Ovis aries: one gene and its partner. The protein of the gene in region 2 binds, or shares a complex with, the protein of the main gene of each other region. Links are inferred from orthologs where the notes say so. Each region holds a gene or a part of one and is shown on either strand. Other genes may lie near its edges.

Region 1 (2,556 bases), on a different chromosome or scaffold from region 2:
GTTGGGGACCCAGGGACTGGTCTCACCTGGCCCATCTTGATTTGGGGGTGGGGGTCTGGAGGGCAGAACTGGATGGGTGCCCATCCGGAGGAACAGGCCCCCCACCCGTTCTGCATTCTGGCGGCACGCGGTTGCCCTGGCACCTCCGCAGCCCGCCTCTCTCTCCCTCGGCGCGCGCCCCTCTGTCTATAAATAGCCCAGGACGTGCTCGCCTGGGCGATGACGCGGCCCGGCGTGCCGGAGGGGAAAGGCGGCTCTGCCGAGCAGGTGGGCGGCGGGCACTGCGGCGGGAGGGGCGCCACTGGGGCCCCCTTGTGCCAGGCTCCCAATGATGGGCGTGATTGAGTCATCTCAGGGCCGCACGGTCCGCCAACGTATCTGCCTCGGGCTTAGGGGGCTGCGGGGGCGAGGCTGATCTCGGGTGGATATTGAGGCCGCCAGACCCTGGGTTCGGCTGGTCTCCGGAAGCACCTCTGGGTGGGCAGAAACGCGGAGGTGCATGCCCGCCCGCTGCGCGACGCAGGTCCACATCGATCTAGAAAATGACCGCAGCCCCACTCTCTCTCCCTCCAGCGTCCCCCAAACCTCCTCCTCCATTTCCTCAGATCTGGAGTGAGGAGGCGTGGGGACCCTCACTGTCAGGGCCAGCCCAGCCCCTGTATCCCTCCTCTCAGAGATGAACGCACTCTCCACCTTCAGACTCTCTCCTATTTTGGTCCACACCCACCACACCCCCAGGCCCCGCCCACCCCTTCCCTTCCTCTGACCCAAGCTGATAGATACATAGAACAGCCAGGTTGGGACAAGAAACATTTAATTAGGAGTCTGGGGGCTCAGCAGTGCCCCAGCAGACTCCTCATGCAGCCTCATGTACAGTGGGCATTGGGCCCGCCCCTGGGATATTGCTGGCGGGGGGCCTCATGGCAGCAAACAGGGCAGTGTGGCTTGAGTTCCTTCCCCTCTGCGAGGGAGAGGTGGGGCAGGGGCCAGTGGGTAGGAGCGTGTGCCCCTCCCACCACATGGGAGGGTGTGACTGTGCCCAGGATGGGGGTGGCATTGGCTGGCACGATCAAGGGCACAAGAGGAGGCTCAGAGCTTGGGGAGGAAAGGGAGGTTGGCACCAGAGAAAACCAGCCTGCAAGGGAGGGGTCCTCTTTGCGTGTCCCCACACACCCCTTCCCCCAGCATGCCTACCCCCTTCCCTTTCTGGTGGTCAAACAGAATTCACTGTCTCCCACTCCTGCTTCCTCCCAGGGCTGTGTCCTGGAAAAGGGACCGGATGCAGCCAGAAAAAGGGCCCCCTGCAACGGCAGCCCTGTCCCCCACAAAGCCCCGAGGGAGGGGGTAAGGGAGGGCTATTGCAAGGTCAGTCCTGAGGGTGGGGTTCCTGGGGCAGGCCTGGCAAGGCCTGGGACAGGAACTGAGCGTTCAGAGTCCTGACAGTGAAATGGGGATTGTTTTGATCAGGTGGGCCGGTGGGTTTCTGTGTGCAGGCAGCTCTTGGATGTGTCCTCTCCCAGTGAACAAGGGTAGAGTGAGGTTGCTCTCTGGTGACTGTCCTACTGGAGGGGACAGCCTCTGATTTGCCACACTCTCCCCAGACCTCAGCCCTCCCCTCTTCTGTCCACCCAAGTTTCAAGTAACAGGAGAGAGAGCCACAGAACTTTCCTGAGAGTTGATGGAGTGACAGAGGTGATAAGACCAGGGTCCTCCCACAGCCCTGAGCTCCCTCCCCACCCGGAGCTGGGGCTGAGGGACCCAGGAGGGCCCCACTCCCAAAGTGACAGCTGCAGGGTCACACATACAAGGGCCCAAGCAGAGGCTCTGTGAGGAGAGCGGTGTCAGGCATGCAAAGGTGTGGTGGGCAGGGGTAGGCTCTCTGGAAGAGGCAGCCCAGATGTTCCTCAGGAACTTCCTCTCAGGGCTGTGGACTCTGCATGGCAACTGGACCGGGGGGACCCACCTGGAGTTTTGCCATTGCCTCCCACTTTCTCCTCCTCCCCACCCCCAAGTCTCAGAGCTGCAACCTCTTCAGGGCACCCCAGGACCCCAGAAATAACACCTTTCTCAGTACAGAAAGCTCCCACGCCATGGTGAATGGCCCCTGGGAGAGGAGCAGAGGGAACCCCCCGAGGGGCCAGAAGCTAGGAGGGCTGGGCACGGGCAGAGGCGGCTTCTGGGTCCTCTTGGCTTCTCTCAGATCTCGGTCAGGGCATCGGCTGGAACCAGGCCCCGCTTCTTGCCACTGCTGACGCGGATGAAGCCGTCAGCATCTTTGCTCCTGCCCACACCCACACAGATCTGAGCAGGAGAGACACAACGCTGAGGCCTGGCACTGCCTACCTCCCTGGCCCCGAGTCCTGCTGATGCCTCCCATGGGGCCTATCCCAAGGGATGATGGGACCAGCATCAGATGCGGCTGGAGCAGGGGTGATGGGAGCAGATCCCATGAGACTCCAGGGCACAGCAGCAAGAACCAAGCGGACAGCAGACACGGAGCAGCACTTCGGGGCTGACCTTTGAGATCAGCTGGTCTAATGCCCCTGACAAACTCCC
Region 2 (4,263 bases):
GGGGACCCTGGGCAGGGAACGCAGACCCCCCGGGTCTCAGTCTCCTCGTCTCATAAAGGGCCTAACGGCCTCACGGGGGAGGAACGAGACAATAAAGCAAAATGTTCACGCAGAGCCGGCACTTGGGCAACGTTGGGCGTTGGACTATGATCTGGCTTTCGGTAAGTCCATCTTTTATCCTCTCCAAGCCTCCGTTTTCTCATCACAAACAGACTGAGGCAGGGAGGAGCAAGACAACCTGACCCAGGAAACCCCCTCCAGCTGCGGCATTCCCTGGCCTGTGGACGTGTTGTGGGTGCTGGGCCGAAGGGAGCGTGGTGCTGACATAAACTCCCGCAGAAAAGCAAGCTCCACAGAAGCGCGTTTCTTCCAAGTCACACCCAGGGAAGGGAGATCAGCATTCAGCCCCGTCACTGGCCTCACTAAGCCTCAGTCTCTGCATCTGCCGAACGGGACTGGCTTAGGGGCTGTGGTGCGGAGGACACAGCCCACTCTCACACGGTGCTCAGCAGTGAGTCCTGCGGCCACAGGGGTGGAGCCAGAACCAAGGCCACCTCCAAAGCTGACTGAGGCCCTTCGTAACCTTTGCCAAAGCCCCCTGATCATCACTAACGAGCTTCCTGACTCCAAATTAGGCCAAAACGCTGACCCCATGCTCAACCTATAGCACTCTGACCAACCGTGCGTGCGCGCGAGCTAAGTTGACTCAGTTTCGTCTGACTCTTTGTGGCTCAAAGACTGTAGCCAACCAGGCTCTTCCGTCCATGGGATTCTCCAGGAGAGATACTGGAGCGGGTTGCCATGCCCTCCTCCAAGGGGAGCTTCCCCACCCAGGGATGGACCCATGTCCCTTACAGCTCCTGCTTTGGGAGGTGGGTTTTTCACCCCTAGTGCCACCTGGGAAGTCCACCCAACCAATCACCCAGCAGCAACCTGCCAGCAGGAATTTTCTTTGTCTTGAGGCTATAAAAACTGGCTTCTAAACCAGGAAAGCGCTGCCTCTCTCCGGCCTGTTAGGAGGTCAGCCCGCTGAGCTCGCAGGGCCCCTGTTTTCTCTGATCTTTGTTCTTAGCAAACTCATTCCCTTCTGAAATGCTCCCAAGTCTGGACATTCCTTTCCAGCCCCTGCTTGGATTGCCTCAGCACTTAGCACGGAGCTGGCACAGCGGGTACTTGCTCAGTGCTGGCTGCTGATATGACGGAATCCAGCCCAGCCAGGTTTCCCTGCGGAGCTCAGAGCCGCTCAGCCCCCCCTGCAAGTCTCGGGGACAGGGGTCTCTACCCTCCCAGGGGGGTGGGGGTGAAGCTCCAGCATCCCCCACTGGGCAGCAGGCCAGCAGAGGCGGGACCACACTCTCTTACCAGGCCGAGGTTCAGCCTGTTGTTGTCGTCTTCCGGCATGGGCAGGTACACGGCCAGGGCCACGCAGTTGGCAAAGATGGTGAGTAGGATGATGGTCTCGAAGGGTCTGCGGCAGAGTCAAGGAGAGAGTGAGGCGCGGGACTTGCGGGTGGAGCAGAGTGCACGGGGGGTCTCTGTGGACACCGAGGCCCAGCGACGGGCCCACATCGCACTTCTGCTCCTGGCGGGGGTGCGGGCGGGGACCCTCCTCCTTCAGGGGGTTGACTGAGAAGTTCAGGGACCTCGAGGCACTGGCTCCCGTATGGGGCTACTCAGTTCCAACGCTCAGGGAGTCTTGAGTCCCATCTCAGTCCCTACACCCCCACCTCTCGCCCGGCCACCCACCCCTCTGTCCCCTTGAAGGCGCTACAGTCAGACAGTCCTCCGGGCCTCGGAGGAGCAGCCAGGGAGGCTGGGCTGGTACGAGCCAGGTGAGGCCCCTGGGGCAGGACAGGGAGCGGCTGTGTGCCCTGAAACCTGGCCTCTGTGGCCTGAGCAGGGGAGACTGCCCCGCGGCAGCTGCACCCCCAGGTCCCAGCACCCCCTGCGCAGGGCGAGCCAGCTGCTTGCCAGAGGGCACCCCCAGGCTCCCTGGACTTGCTGGTGAGCAGTAGGGGCCCTGGGGGAGGCCGCCAGGGGAGGTGCGGGTGGTGGGGACTGAGGGGTGAAGATGGAGGAGCGGAGGTGTGCGTGAGCTGATAGCGGGGATGCGCCCTGTGTCCACAGCTCACGGGTAGGCCCCGTGCCCTTTCCAGCCACCTTCCTTGGGTTTGGGGAGAGGTGGCCTCAGGGCAGAGGCCTGGAGAGGCGCCGGGAGACAGGAGAGAGGCCCTCGGCCCCCCAGACGGAACGGGCAGGGGGCCCCGGGGTGGGCACAGCAGTGTGGGGGCAGGCCCGGTCCCACCAGGCGCCCCGGTTCCGGGTTCTCTGCCCCTGCAGCTCCCTCCCTCTCTATCTTCTAGGCAACAGCTGGTGGGAGCCCGGTCTTCCAAAGCCCCTCAGAAATATTCCAAATATTCCCAGCCGGTGCGCTCAGCACCCCCATGACAACAGCCTTCCCTCTGCCTCATGCCTGTCCCCCTGGCCCCAGCAAGCCGGGCGTTTTCATCATTCTTCCTCCCGGAGCTGATGCCAGCGTGGAGGGGGTCACGTCCCTGTACCCAGGGCGTGCGGCCCAGCCGGGCCTGATGTCTGCACAGAGCTCAGTGCCCACCCCACCGGCCTCCCAGCCCCGCCGGCCCCCGCCACCCCATCCCATGTCAGGGCCTCCACGCCTTCCAGCACCTTCCAGAGGTGGCCTTGGGGCCCTGCGCCTTGCCCCCAGCCCCCTGCGTCCGCGCCAGGGCTGCCTTTCCCAAAGCCCCCGGCTGCACCCCTGGGCCCCAGTGCCGGGCCCCCAGAGCCTGTGATCACTGAGCCCCCTCCTCCCCTCCGCACAGCCCCTGAAGGATACTTCCACTCGACGATGCTGATGCAGGCTTTCCGCACAGGGTTCTGGAGGGTCAAGCAGAACAAGGCCCGGGGCGGCCTGGGCAGGACCTCCGGGACGGGCTTCTTGGCCTGCTTCCTCCGCAGGCCCTCGTCCTGGGCTGGGGCCGGCTCCATGGCTCCCGCGGCCTCGGCCTGTCCTGCTCGCCTACCGCTGCCCTCTCCTCCCTGCGGCCCAGCACCCCCGCCTCCTGGACTGGGTGGCTGAGCTGGGGCGCCTGCCCTGCTGAGCCAGCCGGGCGGGGCAGGATCACTCTCCCTGCTCCAGGGGTAAAATTAGCCTCCTCTGGCTCCCCGCTGACCAGCCCCCGGCTCCACAGCCAGGCAGCTGTCACCCCTCCCCAGCCCAGCCGGCGGCATCCCGGTATGTCCCCAAGGAGGCAGGGGGAGGGTCACACGCAGGCCCAGGCTGGAGCTGTGGACAGAGAGCTCAGGAAGTGATCTGGAGCCCCCAGACTCACTGAGCCCACGGAGGGACCACCGACACCAGCTCCTGGATGTCAAGATTAGTCCCCCTCCCCACCCCAAGACACCATCCGGAAAAGGTGCTGGGTGGCCCGGCTCAGTAGGAGTCCACAGCCCTCCCTCCCATCTCCACCCGCAGCCGTCTGGCCAAGACCCTCCACTCTCACCCCCACGCCCCGGGGTGGGGGGCTCCTGGGTGTACACACCTTTGTTCCCCACCTCACCCCACCGCCCCTAACTGTGCAAGGGGCAGGTGTCTGCCCCTGGGACTCTGCCCCGGCAGGTACTGAGCTCTGCGTGAACGTCAGCTGAATGCATAAGCGAACAGAACACCCCACACCCCCCGCAGGCAAGTGCTCTGAGTGGAAGGAGACTGGGTCGCCAGGGAAAAGAGGTGGACAGTGACCCGGAACCACAGAGCCCAGCGTCTTTATTTAGCCCCTTGGTGCAAACACAGCACATACACCCACGCGGCCTGCATGCCACGGAGCGCAGGATGAGGGGAAGCAGTCCCCTCCCGACCTGGGAAAGGAAAAGGCCACACTGCAGGCTGGGGGCTGCGGGCTGGGAGCCTTGGGTCCTCCAGTAAGGAAGCCAGGGAGCAGCACGGGCCACACGACCTCCCCCGCCACCCCACCCTGGGCTGGGTGCAGGCTGCCGGGCCTGCAGCTCACCCTCTGGGTGTCCCTGGGAGGCGGGCTGGCAAGCTCCCAAAGAGACGCTGGTGTCTGAGGCCATCTCCTGGAGAGTCCAGGCGAGGCCCGCCCATCAAAGCAGGCTTGCCTTCTGGGCTGCGCCTGTGGGCCCGGGGTTTACAGATCAGGGCTGCAGTGGCCGAGTACACACCGGAACCTGGGCTTAGACCTGTTCCCGCGCGGGGCTGAGGCCAAGCCGGAGCCCGACTCCAGG

What was found.
Region 1: the proteins of CACNA1S (region 2) and STAC2 are in contact, whole or in part, in a crystal structure (PDB 6B27), measured with the Homo sapiens proteins. The link is inferred for Ovis aries from reciprocal best matches to the Homo sapiens genes CACNA1S and STAC2. Residues at the interface, in NP_000060.2 of Homo sapiens: Glu749, Pro750, Glu751, Ile752, Pro753, Ser755, Pro756, Arg757, Pro758; in NP_945344.1 of Homo sapiens: Tyr301, Lys302, Phe303, Gln306, Glu307, Asp310, Asn326, Asp328, Trp329, Phe340, Pro342, Asn344, Phe345.

Annotation. Positions count from the first base shown.
Region 1 is NC_056064.1:39,451,207-39,453,762, forward strand, and holds the end of STAC2 (SH3 and cysteine-rich domain-containing protein 2), read right to left. Parts: intron 2,302-2,556; coding exon 2,197-2,301; 3' UTR 798-2,196; downstream 1-797. UniProt on the Homo sapiens protein: Plays a redundant role in promoting the expression of calcium channel CACNA1S at the cell membrane, and thereby contributes to increased channel activity. Slows down the inactivation rate of the calcium channel CACNA1C.
Region 2 is NC_056065.1:79,057,185-79,061,447, forward strand, and holds the start of CACNA1S (voltage-dependent L-type calcium channel subunit alpha-1S), read right to left. Parts: upstream 3,092-4,263; 5' UTR 3,007-3,091; coding exon 2,855-3,006; intron 1,469-2,854; coding exon 1,363-1,468; intron 1-1,362. UniProt on the Homo sapiens protein: Pore-forming, alpha-1S subunit of the voltage-gated calcium channel that gives rise to L-type calcium currents in skeletal muscle.